4 linked regions of the Neodiprion lecontei genome follow. The main gene of each other region encodes a partner of the protein of the gene in region 4 in a complex. Links are inferred from orthologs where the notes say so. Each region holds a gene or a part of one and is shown on either strand. Other genes may lie near its edges. The genes, in order: spliceosome-associated protein CWC27 homolog, pre-mRNA-splicing factor CWC22 homolog, splicing factor 3B subunit 5 and cysteine-rich PDZ-binding protein.

What was found.
Region 1: cysteine-rich PDZ-binding protein (region 4) and spliceosome-associated protein CWC27 homolog share a complex: the UniProt entries of both Homo sapiens proteins name them as parts of the minor spliceosome. The link is inferred for Neodiprion lecontei from reciprocal best matches to the Homo sapiens genes CRIPT and CWC27.
Region 2: cysteine-rich PDZ-binding protein (region 4) and pre-mRNA-splicing factor CWC22 homolog share a complex: the UniProt entries of both Homo sapiens proteins name them as parts of the minor spliceosome. The link is inferred for Neodiprion lecontei from reciprocal best matches to the Homo sapiens genes CRIPT and CWC22.
Region 3: cysteine-rich PDZ-binding protein (region 4) and splicing factor 3B subunit 5 share a complex: the UniProt entries of both Homo sapiens proteins name them as parts of the minor spliceosome. The link is inferred for Neodiprion lecontei from reciprocal best matches to the Homo sapiens genes CRIPT and SF3B5.

The regions. Positions count from the first base shown.
Region 1 is NC_060260.1:40,538,911-40,544,405, reverse strand, and holds spliceosome-associated protein CWC27 homolog, read right to left. Parts: upstream 3,653-5,495; 5' UTR 3,557-3,652; coding exon 3,515-3,556; intron 3,209-3,514; coding exon 2,999-3,208; exon of another isoform or gene 2,957-2,998; intron 2,861-2,956; exon of another isoform or gene 2,823-2,860; coding exon 2,622-2,822; intron 2,488-2,621; exon of another isoform or gene 2,428-2,487; coding exon 2,288-2,427; intron 2,198-2,287; coding exon 1,943-2,197; intron 1,871-1,942; coding exon 1,697-1,870; intron 1,594-1,696; coding exon 1,406-1,593; intron 1,344-1,405; coding exon 1,018-1,343; 3' UTR 510-1,017; downstream 1-509. Other genes in the region: dynein axonemal heavy chain 7-like, read left to right, coding at 4,482-4,569, 4,795-5,495. UniProt on the Homo sapiens protein: As part of the spliceosome, plays a role in pre-mRNA splicing. Probable inactive PPIase with no peptidyl-prolyl cis-trans isomerase activity. As a component of the minor spliceosome, involved in the splicing of U12-type introns in pre-mRNAs.
Region 2 is NC_060261.1:13,515,033-13,521,728, reverse strand, and holds pre-mRNA-splicing factor CWC22 homolog, read right to left. Parts: upstream 4,758-6,696; 5' UTR 4,371-4,757; coding exon 3,495-4,370; intron 3,418-3,494; coding exon 3,100-3,417; intron 2,956-3,099; coding exon 2,802-2,955; intron 2,697-2,801; coding exon 2,544-2,696; intron 2,380-2,543; coding exon 2,153-2,379; intron 2,080-2,152; coding exon 1,799-2,079; exon of another isoform or gene 1,728-1,798; coding exon 1,626-1,727; exon of another isoform or gene 1,557-1,625; coding exon 1,396-1,556; intron 1,269-1,395; exon of another isoform or gene 1,152-1,268; intron 1,114-1,151; coding exon 776-1,113; 3' UTR 509-775; downstream 1-508. Other genes in the region: EF-hand domain-containing family member B-like, read left to right, coding at 41-170, 293-491. UniProt on the Homo sapiens protein: Required for pre-mRNA splicing as component of the spliceosome. As a component of the minor spliceosome, involved in the splicing of U12-type introns in pre-mRNAs. Promotes exon-junction complex (EJC) assembly.
Region 3 is NC_060261.1:14,537,260-14,540,570, forward strand, and holds splicing factor 3B subunit 5, read left to right. Parts: upstream 1-1,939; 5' UTR 1,940-2,250; intron 2,251-2,459; 5' UTR 2,460-2,461; coding exon 2,462-2,719; 3' UTR 2,720-2,801; downstream 2,802-3,311. Other genes in the region: TATA-box-binding protein, read right to left, coding at 53-183, 282-539; exosome complex component MTR3, read right to left, coding at 2,895-3,191. UniProt on the Homo sapiens protein: Component of the 17S U2 SnRNP complex of the spliceosome, a large ribonucleoprotein complex that removes introns from transcribed pre-mRNAs.
Region 4 is NC_060264.1:28,958,031-28,961,583, forward strand, and holds cysteine-rich PDZ-binding protein, read right to left. Parts: upstream 1,836-3,553; 5' UTR 1,650-1,835; exon of another isoform or gene 1,383-1,649; intron 1,349-1,382; 5' UTR 1,335-1,348; coding exon 1,032-1,334; 3' UTR 509-1,031; downstream 1-508. Other genes in the region: uncharacterized protein LOC107218174, read left to right, coding at 2,392-2,402, 2,652-2,795, 3,055-3,553. UniProt on the Homo sapiens protein: As a component of the minor spliceosome, involved in the splicing of U12-type introns in pre-mRNAs. Involved in the cytoskeletal anchoring of DLG4 in excitatory synapses.

The sequences.
Region 1 (5,495 bases), on a different chromosome or scaffold from region 4:
AAAGATAGCAATAATAATAATAAAAATAACAATAGTAACGGGTAATAACAACAAGAATAACAAAATTAAAAATTTCACCAACCCGCTTATTCTCGATTTACTCTCATACATTTCAAATCTCTTTTACGATTGCACGTATAATCCTGAACCGTCAAGTCATTGCAGAATTATGTGATCTTTTCTTATCTTACGCGTGCGGCGTTTCCCACGCTGTGTTTTTCATCATTTCGGCGTGTTTACATTCTTTCATTAACATTCATACAACGTCACAACAGTCTATCAGTGCCGCATATAATCTTGAATTGACTCTTGACCAGTCGAACTACTGGCCTAACTACCGAACGAATGTTTATTTGCCAGTAGAATAAAAAAGGTACGTCTACGAACTGGTTGTGAAGAAATTATTTAGAAATATTTGACAGTGAACATGGCCGTCGTTGACATGCTAATCGCCACACATCGCAACACTGATTAGGCAAATAAAACGTGCAAGGGGTGAAACAAGTGTAGTATCCGACATGAAATGTACCTCTAGAAAAAAGAATTAATTTATTCATTGGATTAGAGTTATCGATACATGATCGTATACTATATCATTTCTACATCGTTTGATTATCATCCCGTTTTAAGTGCAAACATTGCAAATAGATGTTGCGATGCAAATATTTCCACCAGAATAATTTAATAATACACCGCTTTACCTGAATTGAAACTAAATATTTGCGCTACCGGGAACTGGTAGCGGAATTATGTACACTGTGAGTTGCTTGTACAGTAAGTATGTATACATATAAAGAAAATATTACATTTAGCGAATGCCATTTGTAATTTGTAGTCAAATCCTGTGTTTAGGTTGTCGAATTGCGAATGTTGAATCAGATTTGCATTAAATGGATGACGCTTATTCGATTTGTAACAGTTTTGGAATTTATAATCAAGATCAATGGAAACTGGTTGTCAATTTTGAAAACGACACTTTTTTGGAAGTCTATACGGTTCGTTAGCGTTTTATAGTTATTATTTATGCCGAGAGTGTTCACCGTCTTTCAATTTTGGTGTTTTCTCACCGCGTCTTCTTTTGTTCAACGGATTTCTCGGATCATAAATCTCGAACCAATCGTCGGCCTTTGTACTAGCGTCTTTAGCCAAAACTGGCGTTTTTTCCTCGAACCGTAAAGTGTGCGCCATCCATTTCTCGTCGTCAAAACCGTCATCGTCTTGGTTATCTGGTTTTTTCTTCTTTTCCGCGACTTCAGTTGACTCCTCAACCTGTTCCTTAGCGCTTTGTAGCTTACTTCGAAACTTTTGTAATAGCTGCAGAGTGAAATTTTCTCGGGATGCGCCTGTAAGAATGCAGAAAAGTAAAAACACTGTATTAGAATTATACTCTCTGAGGAGGAATTACCTTTTTTTGGCAATTTCGATTTAGCTTCCTTGTACTTCTCCTGGGTTTCTATGTACTCCCTTAAAACGCTAGATTTCTTTTCCTTCTCCTGTTCTTTCTCCACCTGTATCTGGGCTTCCTCTTCTTTTGCTTTTTTTTCACTTCTGACGTCGCGTTTCAAGTCTCGAATTTCCTTTCGTATCTCCTCACTAAAAAGCAATAATGAAATTAATTTAAACGGTTAAAAGAGGTACCAGCAGCCAATCTCAATCTACTTCAAAATTGGAAAAATATATCATCTTCATTACATACGCTTTTTTCTTTCGTTCTTCATCACGATCTTTGCCCAAGTAATAAGCTTCTTCTTCGGGCTCAGCATCATTGTCGATGTTCTGAACTTCATCGATCTTCCGATCTTTTGGTTTCTTATTATCTGATGTACTTTTAGCGTCTTTTAACTTGTTCTTTATCCTTTCTCTCATAGCTCTAGCAGAGTAAAGTCCGATAGTTAAAAAGTCATTAGTTTGTAGATGAATTCGCAAAATAAACATTGCTTACTGCTTTTCTTTACTCAGATTGGCAATCTCATCGAGTGATATTTCTTCGGTTGCACTCTCCGAATCACTATCCTCATCTCCTTTCATCTTTTTACTAGATGGTTCACCATTGTCTATAGCAAGCTCTGAACTAAGCTTAGGATCGGCCAAATTATCATGAGCTGATTTTCCCTTGGTGCTAAACTGTTTGCTCAAAACAACAGATTCCTCTTCATCTTCCTCCGCTTCCTCTCCAAAAGACAGAAGTTTGAAATTTCTGCAATTACAAGGTTTCAGCACGGCAAAAATATTAACAATGTTAACAAGGTAAAAACTTCTTCTAGAATTGTGTAAAAAAGATTAGTACTTCACGCCAGATTTTTTCTCTTTCTTTTGCAGCTTTTCTGCCTCAACTTGTTTGGGTTCAACTCGAGGCTCGATGTCGGTAAATGGATTATTTAAAACCTCTGTTTTAACAATTTTTTGCGGATACAATGGACGATCGTTCTGGAATGAATATCGTATTTTAAAAATTTAGGAAAATCGTCAAAATGAATGTCACATTTGGTACGTTAAAGATGAAAATTTTTTTTCAATTCTTGCATTTTATACTTGAGAGATGGATACTTTAAAACGAACTACTAAACGTACCAAAAATTCTCAACTTCCATATGGGAATATGACGAAAAAATTCCCAGTACCTCATCGACCAATGTGTCCTCAAGTTTGAGCATGTTGTAAATTGTCTCTCCTGTAACTTTACCAAATATCGTGTGTTTATTTTGCAATTCAGGAGTTGCTGCCAGTGTGAAAAAAAACTGAGAACCGTTATCATCTTTTCCTGCATTCGCCATTGCAAGCAAGCCTCTCCGACAAAAACGTAATCTGCTGTGAAACTCATCCTGTAATGAATAAAGAAAATTCTTCAACTTGTATGCAAGTACGATATAAATATTGTATGCGTATTTCTATTTCTCATTGAAAATGCTCAACAGTAATTGAGTAACGACAGATCAGTTTAATTCTACCTCAATAGATAATGATACAATTGAAGACGACGTTTAAAATAGTGCCATACCTTGAACGGGCCATCGTATATACTCTCGCCACCCTCCCCAGTCCCCGTGGGATCGCCACCTTGTATAATAAAACCTTTTTCAACTCTATGAAAAATTGTGCCATCGTAATAACCTTCCAAACAAAGCTGTATGAAGTTTCTACAAGCTTTTGGTGCCTCCTTAGTCCATAATTCTAAGTCTATTTCGCCAACAGTGGTCTGCAGTATCACCTAGAAAAATTTAAGATTCAGCCTATATGCTATAAGCAAGACCTCAACATTCACTGCCGATATAAAGTTGACGATGAGATAAAGCGAACTTCATGCATTATAAAACTGCCGCTGGTATGAAATACTCGTATGAATAAACTGGATGGTTGCTTTTAAACCATATTAAAACGACTTGTACAATTGTTAATCCTTATTCTCGGCGACAATCTTAACAGTAAATCCGTACGAATTGGAGGTTAAGTTGTTCCGCGCAGATTATATTTCAGTATTCTTGTCGCAGACTCGTAAAGTTATTTGGATTCATACCTTCCCTGTTGTAGGCGGCTCTTGTATGTATATGTTACTCATAGTGGTCAAATATCTTCAACATATGCAAAAATATTTGAAAACTTTAGTGTCTAGTAGTTTATAGACTTTTCATATTTCCATACAGGAACAGATGGACTCATCGAGCTCATTCATTGGTCGAGGACTAAATTGTCTATACTTCCATCCGTTGGTAAGTCTTAGACTCTTAAACAAAATTAGCCCCTTAGCACACCTCACTTGATACGTCGGTACAAAAGAATCCTTCATTCAAGTTTGAAACTCTAGGCACACAAACCGTACGTAGAAATTGTTTACTGTTCATTAACAGCTTGGGCATCAAAAATACGCCATGCTGGAAGCTGTGATTTCAAATCAATTCATTTAATTTGACTATTGCGTCAAATGGTTTTATGAACAGAATTTAAGACCACCAACTTCTCCAGAGATTGATTTTCGGGTCTCCTGTAGCATAACAGACTCGTAAATCTGCCATATTAATGCATAAATGCTCAAGAAACGTGTTGTTTTTTTTTAATCATGCTCGATAATAGTTACGATAACTCAACCAATTACAAGGTATACTTATTTACCGTAGTAACTACTGACGTAACACTGCAAGACAAAGAAGAACATATAGGTATTATTGACCAAACATCAGTTCGCTGTCGTGGTTTACAAGTAATTCTTATCACCGCACACATATTTTTCCATTAAAAATTATAGTACATATAGTAATAACAAAACGAATATACTTAAGTTGTGTTCGTAATTATATACGCGCGTGTAAGGTAAAATTAATTAAACTAACATATAGCGAAGTAATTCAAAGTTCGTCCCACTGTTTTTTGCACGATATATCGTTTTTTCTAGACTTGCATGGATGATGTAATAAAAGACTGAAAATAAACTTATAGACTTACATTAAATTGACTAAAATTACTAAATACAAGAAAAATAATTTGACATGGAAAAACAAGAGTTTTATAATCTCGTCTACGGCAAGACAAAGGTGCCGCGAAGACCTCCGATACCAAATTTGAATCAGTTTACAAGTAAGGACTACGAAAAAAATCCATTACTTAAATTTAGTACGCAGAAAGAGCGAACGCGTGAAGTAGTTGAGTTAATTGCAAGCTCTGCCGATAATTTGCGTGCCAAAGAATTATTGATGAGGGATGTGGGTAATAATAGTATTGAGACACGTTACCAACGCCTCCAGTTACCAGAATCGTTTTACATCCAGATTGCAAAATTTTATGGCAATTCTATACCTACAGTTGAACATCCGATAGAGTGGGAAGAAAACATTCTGCGACTAATCCCCGAAAGTATCAGATTCAAATACCCACACATTGTGGAACAAATAATCCACGAGACGAGACAGAAATATCTCGAAGAAATGCATGGATTTGGAATTAAAATGGTACTGCATCCAAGTCTAAGGAAAAAAAATCCTGATCTCTCACCAATCGGGACTCCCTTTGCTCACGAAGGCCGGACAAAAAATTATGAAACGTTTTTGAAAAATCGTTACTTTATCAGAGGACAGTATTTTTTATCCCACAAATTGATTAGGGTGATCAAAGCCAAGGCATACTCTGGACTTCCGGACAAGTTCCTAGAATTTTCTCGCTATCACAGCTTGGGACTACTGGAGTTACACAAGCTGAAGGGTGCCGTTGCCAAAGATCTTCGGAACAGTGGGCTTCTGATAATGCGGCGTTATTACGACGAAGTAGCAAAACTATTAAAAAGACCAAAGTATCTTGATCTATCCTGCATAGTGAAAACTTTGACGCAATTCTTACGCTGCGCTACAAGACTGTTTGTCCAAGAAATCCTGAATCGCATGATAATGACCATAGAAGACTTGATTGAAGTTCTGGGTGATCCACATCAGTGTCCACGCTTAAAGCTCGAGCTCTTTTACACGAATTGCGAACTCGTGATGAATCCATGCATCGAGGAGATCTACCAA
Region 2 (6,696 bases), on a different chromosome or scaffold from region 4:
GAATAAAAAAAATTTAGTCATTTGCGTCACAATATTTTAGATGGTACAGCAGCAGAATTGGTAAATCCTCGAAAAACTGTGACTGAAGTTATTTTAGCTTCTCGCATTGGCCATCGACTTTACAGGAAAAGTCACAATAATTATGATGTTTCTGAACAAATCAATCGAAAGTGAGCATTCTGTTGGAATTTTATTGCCACAAAAAATAGCGTTACTGATATTTTAAATAGATGGAATATGTTTATGATTTCCTTGCTTTAAATGATTTACATGTAATTGTTATTTACGACAGATATGTTGAGCCATTCAATAAAAATTACAAGTATGGCAAGAAAAATAGAATCGATAAAGAGGGTAGTCAAGTTAAGCAGTCGATGAGGTGGTTCAAGCAAGATGTTGCATCAATCGTTAGTAACCTCCAAGCAGACTTTATCAACAGGACTCATGCTCCTCTTGGTCGTTCAGTGTGCCATACACCTGAGGCGTATTAAAACTTTTGCATTTTGGGATTTTGGAGACAAATCAGAAGTTGAAACGTGATCATTTCCGGAGGGGTTAACCTTTATTGAATTCAACTGAATTCATTCAAAGTTTATTAACCCCATGAAATCGACTAAATAACAGGAGTGTCAAGGTATTTTTTTTTTTATTCATAATAGAGAATATCTGTTCAAATAAATTCCCAGTATGTTGATGCGTTAGAGGCGAAATATACAGCCAACGAGATATTGTGATTCATTATTTGTTACATTATAAAAATTACTGTCATTATTCACTAATCCTTATGCCTTCTATGCCTATTATTTTTGTCCTTGTGCGTGTTTGTCCGATCGTCACTTTCCCTGTCCCATTCTCCATGCCGATTTGGTTTGGTTGATCGTTTTGATTGACTCAATCTATCATTAGGCGTTTTATCGCTATTCCTGCGCCCTTCATTTGTCTCGTGAGTGCTGCTAATACAGTTTCTATCAGTTTCTATATCCCAAACATCTTTCACGATTGATTTGTTTTTTAGTTTCTTTTTTGTCACTCGCGTTTTGTTTTTCTTCTTCTTTTTTTGGGTTTTTTCTTTCGCAGATTTCTTTTTCCGATGGTCGTCAGATTCAGAAGAACCTAGGAAATATAGATTTTTTTTCTTTCCTTTTTTACAGCAAGAGTGAAGAGTTACGAAAAATGACAAAAAAATTTCATTTCTTTACCTGACTTGTAAATTACTAAAAAACGAGTGGTCCACTGGTTTTTCCAGAAAAAAAAATTAGCAGTTTCAGGTACCGACTTTGGCATGAAATTCTAATCCCCCAAATAATCAATTTTAAGTTGGAAAATTTTAAAAATATACATATTCGCAATTTTTGCGATTGTAATCATTATTTAGAAATATGAAAAATTTCGTACTTGCAGTCTCGGATGATGATGACGACGACGATGAACTCGACGAGGATTCGGAACTAGATGAAGATGAACTGCTGGAACTAGACGACTCTTTTTTGTCTTCAACAAATTCTGGCACTACAGCTGGCTTCGGACGCGATTTCAAGTGTTCTCGTAATTCATCCCTGAAATTACAGCATTCATATAGAAAAATATTGTTGGAATTTCAATTAGTAAAAATGAATATAACTTACGTAAGACCACCCAGACCAATGGAAGTGAAAAAATTGATAGCAAATCTTGTATTCTTTGGATCATCTCGTGGAAATAAACCCTCGAAGGCTCCTTGCAAAGTCCTTTGAATCAAAAAAACAGTTTCAAATAGAAGAAGTACAACACATCAATATCTAATAAAGACATTACTTACACATCTTTCACACGCTGATTTAATTTTGAAAGTCCCATATACTCGGATAATTCTTGGAATAAAATTTTTATGAAGATACGACTAGAGCTGGTAGTATCTTCTTCATTTAATTTTATGCAAGATAGAACCTCCCAAGAAATGGAATCAGTGAACAACAAATGAGCAAAGAATTTGGACACGTTACGTAGTTTGTTGGTGTCCAAACGATGTATTGTATCGTACGAATCGATGAAAATTTGTTCAAACGGCGTCACGTAGATTTTGTTAATCGCGCAAAATCGCTGAAAAAGCAAGTCATTCAATCAAAATACAGATGTTTCACAAAACATTGAGCAACCGCTAAGAAGCACTTACCCCAGCTAAGAGACCAAAGAATTTCTCATATGTCCTCATCTCTGCGCAACAGTCCAGGAACATGTGACATAGTTCAATTTCTTGCCCAGGCTTCAGCTGCATCTTCATCAATTTGTGCGCACATTCCTCAAAGTCGAGAGAAGAATGAATAGTTAAATAAATCGTTCTGCGCAACGCTGTTAAATTAGTTTCAGTGTTGTCGACTATAACATCTTCCTTTGCTTCTCCTGAAAGAATCCGTTTTACTTTATTATATCAAATATTACAGAATTTGAGGGACTTTTAATAAGGTAGGAAATAGTCACTGATATTATATTTTGGAAGGAATTACGCCTTCATCTCCACAATTACAAATTCCATCACAAATACATGTATCTGAAAATCAAGTTACCTGTGATATTACTATCTTCCTCGTCAGAGGAGTTATCTTCTTCATCACCATCAGAACCATCTGAACCGCTACTGTCAGTATCAAGAATCTCTTTGCTCAATGCTTTATATTTTTCCTCTGTTGCAATGTAGTCCGGATCGAACTTGAAAACGTCTATGAGAAAAAAAAATTGATAGATGCCACATTTTGAAATGTCATGTTATAGCTATGCCGACAATTATGAAGTCAATGCAAGCCGTATATTTGTGCAAGTCTTACTCAGTACATCTTGAGGGTCAGTTGCTTCGTCCAAAGTCACAAGGTGAGTAAACTGGTTATCCTCTTCAACAAGGTCAAGCTCTTCATTCACAGCCTCGTGATCTTTAAATCCGTCTTTTCTAATTTGGAATATAACTTCTATCATATATTGTACCTGAAATATGTTCAAGTCAGTGGTGAAATTTAATTAAGAAACTATGCAGCATAATTAAAGTAAAATGGAACATCCTTAATAGATCATAAAATATTGAAACCAAACTAATGTCAACGTTTTATGATTTCAGGTGTTTCTACCTACTCTTTTATCCAGCTGTCCTTCATGTAAGATGTTGCGAAGCATTTCAAATATTGCCTCGATCCCTTTCTTGGAAACCTCTGTGAGTTTCATGCCACATTCTTTCAAAAATGCGATGGCAACTTCGACGGAGTCATCAGTTGGCGTCTCTACTAGTAAAGTTAGTATTTCCAAAGCTAAGATTTCATGGGCAACACGCTGGTTGACCAAATGGGCAACAAACGTGGCCGAAGAAATGCACTGAGCTTTATCATTACGGCGAAATCCACGCTTGAACTGTATGACTAGACGCTTGAGCAACAATTCACCAATATTAGGGAACTGAAAAAGAAATGATGTGAGCATTTCAGAATAATATTAAAAAAAGGAAACCAACATCAATAATATAAATCATGTACTTTTGAATTGATCACAGCAGTAAGTGCTGCATAGATAGGTGTGAAAGTAGGGGAGGCAGCTTGAGCCTGAATAATAGATCTCGCCAACAGGCCTCGACCTCTGACAATGTTCTCGTGTAACAATTCTCTAGTGATTAATCCGATATTGCTGGTGTTGACTTTATTAATGTATCCATGAATGGACTTTTTCAAGGCTTCCCAAGATATCCGCTGGTATGCAGCTCCCGATTTGTCAGTGATCTCAGCCTGCATCATGCGGAGTTTGGCTGGTGGAATGTAAGCACCACCAGTTTTCGATGTCAGAAGATCCACCGTTCGCTTTTGCGCTGGTGTAATTTTTTCTCGTTCATTTTCCACCGTGATCTGATTCTTTTCAGCACACGCGACATCCTCATCATTTTCTTTATCGTCGTAGCGACGTTTGGGTGATTCATTCCTCTCCTCGTGACGACCGCCATAAAAACGCTGTCCTATTCTTTCTTGTTTATTGGTCGGATACTTGTTCCAGTACTGATCGCTCCAATATCTACGTAGTGAACCATTGTCATTCGAGTCATGACCCTTTCGATACGATCTATCATTCTCATCTGTGGCTGTTTGCCTGTCGTCTTCACTTCGACGAGTTCGTTCCTTGTCATTCCTATGTCGTCTCCTGTCTCTATCTCTGCCATTTCTGCTACTGTTGTTGCTCCTGTAGTATTTAGAATCACTTCTCTCCTTTCGCCTACTGTGACGATCACTCTTATCTTCATAGTCTGAACCATCGTTCTTACGTTTACTTCTCCTCGAACGTTTATCGTGTTCAGTTTCATCGTCACTGTTTATCGATGGCGAACACCTCTTGTCAGGTTTGGCTTTCATTGTGTTCTCAGACATAATGAATTATTACCAATTATCACATCAATAATTACTATGAATAAGAATATTGATTGAAAAATTTATGACATTAAGCAGCGCGAATTTTATTTCTCTGTATTTAAAAAAAAAAATTGCTGTTTATAGTGCACTCAAATCAATAAAAATATGTAAGTTCGGACCACAAGGCTCATTATTGCCACAAGACACATGGAACCATTAACCCCAAAAAACTTGTAGTACAAAATGTCAGGTCGGAGCGCTGTGCGCGTAGTTTCGAACCACTCTAGTCGTGCTCTAGTCGATCCAGCCGCGCCGGTATTACGATAAACTCGTATGCCAATGAACGGGGTAAAACCATGTATACCACGCGACAAATACGTTTACTGCAGCAAGACCACAGATCATAATTGATCCAAGTTATACACACTAGGTTTGTTCGTGCTAGCTACACTCTACACTCACAAGTGTAAAAAGAACTAGGGTAGTGTACTAGGGATTGCTGGGGAGTGTACGTTCGCTTCTCGAGTGTAGCTAAAATAGCGCGAACGCAATAGTGTAGAAGGTGCAGAGAAGTGGGGACAAGAAAATGGCGCACGTTACGTACAGTCGTTTTTTTCCTCGAAACACTTATTAATACAACAAATTAGTAAATAAGATAAAGCATTTTTGGAATTTGTTAACGAAATCTTTCATACCTTATGTTTTAAGTACACTGTTATCAAATTGAACCTTGTTTTTGAAGTAAAATACTGTACTGCTTTGTTCTGATTTGGAGTGAGGTTATGGGTTTGTTGTCACTCGTGAGTTTTAGGGTATATATCGCATCACAGTTCACTAACGTGGTGGAAAAACCTGTAGCATTCATGCGAATTGAACCATTTACACTTTTTACACCTTTTACACTTGGTCTAGACCGAGTGTAAAAAGTGTACACAAAGGCCGTGTTCGAAAATTGACTGACAGTACTATCAGCAATTTTTTATCTCTTTTGCGCTGCCGAGTTCATGGATAGCTCTGTCTCTGTCCTAGAGAATTTTTAGTACTGGCAGTCAATTTACGAACATGGCCAAAGTGTAACGAAAGTCTAGTGACATTTGTAAAACGAACAGCGCCATCGACGTCACGTTCGCTAAAACGAACGCGCAAGTGTACACTCCCCACGAAAGTGTAGAAAGTGTAGCTAGCACGAACAAACCTATTAACGGATGCGTTCCGAAATTAGCTCCCAGTGTTGTCAGCCATCTTTTATCTCTTTTGTGCTGCCAAGTTCGTGGGCGGCTCTGTCTCTGTCCTAGGGAGTTTTGACGCTGCAGCTAGTTTCGGAACGCACCTTATTTAGCAGTTGCAAAGTGAACAAAATGGGCCGACACACGGCTTGACGCGAGTAGTCAGCCGACTGGAGCCTGCACGTGAGGTATATATGTGTGAGGACCAAGTGGATGTGTTCGCTACCAATGAAAATGGTGGCTCGTTAGCGTACGTGGTTTAATCGCAGTGTTGATCTACCGGTACAGTGATATTTCATCATCAGGTGAGTTTCACGTTAATTATGAACAAAACGAAATAGACAAAATCGCAATGTTTCGGATATTTTAGTCATCGGTGAAAGATCTCGTATGGTTGTTTCCGTTTCTTTTTTTTTTGTCCGCGTTGCCGCATCAAGTAGTATCAGCATGAGGCGATATGGCGTCGTTCCTGAAACTCACCGAAACGACCATTTTGCTGTTATCAACAAATCGATATTAAACTCGTTTGATTCATTTATAATTCATTCATCCTACATAGGCTTGCAAATGAACTGATTCGAAATTATGGATTGACGCATCATTACTCCTATTCTCACAATTACTTCAATTTTAACTCGTATCTGAGACCCTTTAGGAATAACTTTCACTGAACATGATACATGTTTTACACATATACAATATTCATAGCATATAATTACGTATATATTATGTACGCCCAATTCTTATCTTCATTTCCATCTATTGTTAAATTCAAGAATTAAGCATTGAGAACTAAAATTAAGCTGTGGGGCTCGCTTTTACAATAACTTGTTACAATGTTTTTTGGCTCAAAAATTGTTTCAAAAATCTGTGCTTAATGTGAGTAATGAATATATATTACATTAACGATGCTGAAACTAACAGCCAAAGTCAGCAGCTAAACCATTCGATGCTGGTATAACTTTGTGTCATGGAATTGCTAGCTTTGGCTACTAGTACCAGTTTGATGAATTCGCTTTGGCAAACAAAGAACTATTAATTATGGCCAATAGATTTATCATTCGTATACTTCTCAAGTAGTTTTTATCAGAAGTAGTATGAATACTAGAGATAGTTTC
Region 3 (3,311 bases), on a different chromosome or scaffold from region 4:
ATTAGGAATTTAACAAATAGTAACAGACATTCAGTAGCCAATGGGAACATACTGAAGCTGGGGTAGAATTCCAGGATCAGCGGAAGCAGGCGTCATTGGTGTCATCGGGCCTGGAGTTGACGGTCCGATTGAAGGGGGAGCTATTTGACTTGCTGGTTGAACCATAGGCGACATCATATTTTGCTATGAAAAAATAATAGCAAAACATCATCCTTAAGTGGTTAAGAACTTTTATAACATTAGTTGGTGAAAAAGCGAGTGAAATAATAGATAGTGTTTACCGGTGTTTGTGGCTGCATAAGACTTTGCGGCGTTGCGAATGCCGGAGCATAAGTGTGCATAGTTTTGTGCGGTGTACCCAACATTGGCATTCCGTGTACGTTTGAACCCATCGGATGCATTTGCTGTAGTTGATTTTGTTGGACTTGTTGTTGTTGTTGTAGCGCATTCGGCAATATTTGTTGATCCTCTTCAGGTTGATGTAACGGTGTGCCGATACTCGGGATGCTGAATCCCGGACTCGGGAGCATTTGATCCATCGTGGATGTTTATGTAAATTTCAATTTAATACAAATTTTATAATTTGCCACTATGTGCAATCTTGATAATCGAGTGAACTTGGTAACTAAGGCCAGTTAGCACATTACTTTGATGACCAAGTAATGTTGATTTGCGAAAGTGCAGTGTCGTTACCCTGTTATATTGATAATCTAATACTTCGCCGACACATTCATACAAAATCACATACTTAAATTTAATATCACAAATTCATTCTTCTAATATATGAGCTATTCCGAAGTTAGGGAGATCCTGTACTCATTTTTCAACAGACACCATTTTCGGTTAAGGTATCAACAATAATTCTGTACAAGAGGATGGGTTAGGTTAGCTCAGGATAGGTTAGATTGGCGGCGGGGGAGGGGGGGGGGGGGGAGGGGGGCACGGTGTAAGAATAAGAGGTGGTCCAACTGGCCCTCGGTTACTGTGATTATTTTGTCTTAGTACGACGGAAATCCGCCAGGGGCCTTATGCGTCTGTGAGGATGAGTAAGATAAGGGCCGTGTTCGAAAATTGACTGACAGTACTGTCAGCAATCTTTCATCTCTTTTGCGCTTCCCAGTTCGTGAATAGCTCTGACTCTGTCCTAGGGAATTTTGAGTACTGTTAGTCAATTTACGAACACGGCCAAGATCTTAACGTCACCAGCTAACCTACAGCGGTGGTGGACATTGTGAGAATGATGATCATTTTCCTTTTTTTTTCAGGTCGCAAATAGAGCCAAACACCAGCCCCCTGACACTCGCCACTGCTCGTATACTAAAAAATTGTATGCGTTTTGTCCCCGTTTTTTAGTTCCCCTACGTGGCGCTAGTAAACTTCTGACACCCTCGCTGCCTTCGTAGACCGCGCGCACGCTTTTCAGACAACTACTAGCGCCACTAGTGGTGGAGATTGGCGGCAGAATCGAGGGACATTTTGCGAACCACTTTTAGCAGCGTGTGTCAGGGAACTGACCAAACACCCAACACAAGACGGACAAAACTTGTCTTCAGTAATTGTACACATTAGGGTTATTTTCTGTACTACTAGCGTTGCTAGTGTAGTTTTTCTACCGAAGTGGCATTGGTTGCAGGTATGCCAAAGATCAATCCGGAGTGAGAGAGATAGGTTGAATGCGGTCAGCTTGACCACTATCTGTGCATCATCAGTTTTAAGCATAGACTTATAAAGATAGACTGAGCGGTCTTATGAGCCGCTTGAAGCAAACATTTAAAGGACAGAAATATGCCGGGAGACTCCCTTCTCTCTCTGACGATATTTGGGGCTGGGATCGAGGCGATAGAGGAGAATGAGGCGAAATTATGCGCCTATATCTACAGCTGTTCCACTTCCACTGCTCCGTTGTCTTCCACCATGACGCCAATTGAAAAGTGAGAGCAGTAGTCCTGATATATCTCTGTCCCTTATATGTGATTGTCAGTGCCTCTTCTAGGAGCGCTTAGTCTATCTTTATAAGTCTATGGTTTCAAGACGAAGCGTGATTTGTAACGTTCGACAATATCTGTCTAGTTTTGTGTCAAAACTGATAAAAATACGGACTCGGCATCTGGACCTGCATACATACATCAACAAAACTTTTGTGAAAACCAAGTAGTTAATCTTGTACATACATTAGAAAACTGATCTCGTTAATCATTTATAAGAGAGACCAAGAAGTGTACTAGAAACTTATCAAGAGCGTTGTCAAAAGTAAGTAGAAAAGTATATCAAGTGAAATTTTTCACTATTTTAGTAATTGTTAATATTGTGAAGTATAACTGACATTACATATTGCAAGAGTACATTCGGCCATACGACAGACGGTGATAAATGAATTTATGGAATATTGCGTCCCATTAATAGCGCTAACCTATAATTTCGAGGTTATGTATCACGCATTTTGTTATTGTTCAATTTAGGAATGGGGGAACGTTACAATATCCATAGTCAGCTGGAACATCTTCAATCCAAGTACATTGGGACAGGTCATGCAGACACAACGAAATTTGAATGGTTGGTTAATCAGCACAGAGATTCATGTAGCTCTTACATGGGGCATTACGACCTTCTAAATTTTTTTGCGCTAGCTGAAAACGAAGCCAAGGCACGCGTCAGATTTAATCTGATGGAGAAAATGCTGCAGCCTTGTGGCCCACCTCCAGAAAAACCAGAAGATTAATCCTATCTATAAAAAATAAGCTGCGAACTGATTTTTTCTGTTACTCTAAAAATATAAATAAACCAATTCTTATCAACTCAAATGAATGTATAAATTTTTATGTACATCATGCTCTCCTTGTCAAACTAATCAATGGAAAATTTCAAGGTTCATTCATTTCTAATCATGTTTTTATTTAATTTTTTTCCTGTTCCTTTCGCTTTAAAGCTCTGAGGACAGTTTTGACTAAACATTGCTGAACAACTGGACATATATTCTTATTAGCTACAGTGAGGGTTTCGATAGCTTGTTTTATGCAATCTATGTTAATGCTTCCAACGAGAAAAAACTCTGAAATCTGGTCATGTTGCGGTAAAGCAGCTTGCATGATCAGTCCATGGTTATTGGGTGGGTTTGGCTTTGCTGGTGCAGAATTACAAAGTACCTCTTCCTCCACTGTCAGATCCAAAAACATTGTATCTTTATAGAACCCCTGAAAATGAGAAGTTCGTTAACAGTTTAAGGAACATAAATATCTCAACAGCTGTTATTTTTATTACAGTTTTCCGTCTATCTGCACTTCTGTAACACTATAATTGAAATTTTCAAGAGA
Region 4 (3,553 bases):
GTTTTTCTTTTGAAAAACTTCATGGTGCCACAGAGAGGTTGTTTTCCAAGAACGCAAATTTGCATAATTTCTTTCAAGAGATTATAAAATGACCAGCTTAGACATTATTTAAATAACACAATTTAATAATGTGTAAGATTGGTTATCAGTTCAGTAAATTTACATGGGTATCTTTCACAAGACTTGATGGTTTTTAACTTGACACAAGCCCGATTCAGTTTCTTTTGTAAAATTTGTTCGTCGCATTGCATTATAGCGAATGAGAAATTTTTACGAGACTAAAATAATATCGGCTAATATGGAAAATATTTTCGTACACTTTTTGGAAAGTTAAAAACCATAATTATTTCAGTAATCTCCAGTTATGTAAGCGACGATAAATACACGTGAAAAAAAAAATTTGTTAGTATGGGTGTGTAAATTCTTTTACTGTGAAAATAAAACTACATAAGGATATGACGATTTTATAAGCGTGAATAACGGAATGAAAAAAAAGACAGATGAATTGTTATGATATTATACAATATTGCATATTTTATTTAATTTTATACAAACATCATGATTTATTATTATTATTATTATCATTGCTTAGTATGTAACAAATGTTTGTATCACAAAATAAATAAATCTCATTGTTTACAAAAAAAAAAATAAGGAAGACAGCAATAACAATTGCAGCGTTAATGCACCAAATATTATACATAATTCATAATCCTTCTTACACCTCCAAGTTTTCAATAACCGATCATCTATGGTGCGGTATTATAAAATCTGCCACCGTCGTGATATAAAGAAAATAAGGTCGTACCTTGAATAAATAAATTACATTTTTGAGGAATCAAAAAACCCTGTATTTTGAATTGCGCACAGATTCTGAATTACCCTGGGACTCTCTGGTTATTCCCTTATACCCCGGCAAAAGTGAAAAGGAGGAAAACAAATCTTTGACTCAAATACAGTAAAGAATAGCTTCATCTTGATGATATTTCTCATGTCTTGTTAATCTTCCGTCACGCACTGCTGCGCACCATCTACGTGGCGGACTGTTTGTAGTTTTTAGTACTCATCAGCTTTTTACCGCACATAGCGCATATGGCCTTTTTGTATGCGCAGGATTGGCAATAATGAGATCCGACCTGGTGAACCTTTTGTCTGCATATTTTGCAGGTTTCGAACTTAGCTGTGTACGGATTAAATCGCGCCTTGCTAGTCGACAGAGCTTTGTTTTCCCCAACTTTCCTTCCTCCACTTTCCACCGTGTTTCTGGCCCCAGATTTCCACGGGTCTGGTGTTATTACGCGACCCAATTTTTTCTCGCACTTCTCGCACACCATGACTCAAAAAGAATCTTGAAATGGAAAAAAATTTTCACATTTGCAGATTTTATGCAGTGAATAAATTGCTAGTTTATGCAGTATTTTATGTCGATTCAAGTGGGACGGTATTTAGCTTTCATAATCAGAAAAAAGATCAGAAACAAGAAAAGAAAAAAGTTTCGGGCAATAATAGAGGATTACTAGTTTATGGTGAAAAAACTGAATTTTTTATGTTGGGTCAGGTAACGCTGGGTCAAGGTTAAGGTTAGGTTATATTTGTGTCGGAATCAAACGAACGCGTCGGCAAGTAGAGGCAGTTTGATTGGTACTTACCGTTACTAAAGCTCTAGAATCGACACAATTTCACTGCAGTACGAATCGTCTGATGGTACGTAGTCCTTGATTTTCAAAAGTTCGTGAACTTGAGAAGGGCAGGTTATGTTAAGATGAAAACAAATAACACCAGTCTTAAGCGTCCTTTTCAGGTTAAAGCTCTGTGAATGCTATTGTTACAATGTTACAACTTGACACGAATTTACACCCTAGGCGCGCTGCTAACGGCCAAACTGGACGTAATTTCGAGTACAGTTGGCAACACTGAAGTCACTATGACCACGCGACTTGAAATTTGTGCGAATTCAAGGGGATTCCTCGATTTTCGCGCGCGTAACTAATTTGAATAAACGTAATATCGACTTATTTAAATTCAATGAAATAATCAGGATTGAATTCTCACTACTGTAAGTGATTCAGCATCTACTACTGAATAACCCGAAGTTCTGTTTATTCAGATTTCGCTCACGTTCTATCGTAATTGTCAAGTCGATCATATATTTGATAACAGGTGAAGTAATGAAATAACGTATTTTAGATTAAAAGTCCCTGAAATAGAAATTCCCGTTTACAAATGTGAGCAATGGGCGTATAGAACACTGGAAGAAGAGCCCCATTATATCATACGCTTATCACCGCTCTGACGTATCTGATTTCCTGATTAGCCGCGAACTGCTAGTCACTATCGATATCGTGCAAATTATCAACAATTGCATACAGGCTGACGAAGACATCGAACAAAATGAGTGCTGGGTATGTAAAAAACCCAAACAAACATTGACAAACCGTATTTACGAAACTGTAGGAATACAATATCGTAATTTGAATAAATTATGTCTTTTTAATCATTTGAATCATGTTTCAAAAAACTGAAATTTAGGAGGGCGTAGCCAGAAAATTTTTGACATCTCACTGTCGAGTGTATTGTCACTCACTAGTGAACAACAAAATATTTTCCATATTTTAATTACGCAAAAGAATTTATATAACAATATGTTTCAGGCCCAGCATCTGTCACATTCTGGATTTTCCCAATGAAATTTTGATGAAAATTATCTTCCATTTGAATGCCAGAGAGCGTGTGCCTTTGGGTAATTCATGCAAAAAATTACACAGTCTTATATTCGAAGAGAAAAAATTATTAAGGTGAATACATAATTCCTATTTTTAATTTACTCTTCATATTTTCATCATTCCATGTAAAAGATTAATATTTCTTATCAAATGAAACAGCTCAGTTGAAGTTAAAAAATTCAATCAACCTAATCATCCTTAATGATTCAGTTGCAAATATTAGAATGGAGCTTACATACGTGATTCAATATATACGTATATCAACGAAAATCCAATTATATCCCACACTAAGCAATATCTGTGATAAGATTTTTCTATCTGTGCATTTCAGGAATTTAGATTTTTCCAAAGACGGGCGCCTGACATCAGTTTCTGACATCCGTCAATATTTTGACAACAGCAAAGCAAGCAGGTACATTCAGAGAGTAAATTTGAGAAATGTAAATTTTATAGAGCCGGAGCAGATGCTTAACGATTACATCGGCAATGCAGTGAACATAGTTGACTTAAACATAAGTGGCACAAGATTTGAAGACGTACAGGGGTTGGGATATTTCCTAAAGTTATTACCACATGTAAAGAGACTCTCTATCGACTGGCCAAGACGAATGGAAGATAACGCTGAACCTTGCTGCAAGGTTCTACGAGGGCCTTTAAGCAAACTCACGTATTTGTCAATACAAATATGGCATCCACCACATACAAAAAAGTTTGTCCAATATTTACAAATGTGTCAAAAACTCAAGGAGCTACGCATGATTGGAAGGAAATCCTGTTATGTTCCTGCAACAGACGACCTTCCGTACTTAAACCACAAAAAACTTAGGAGT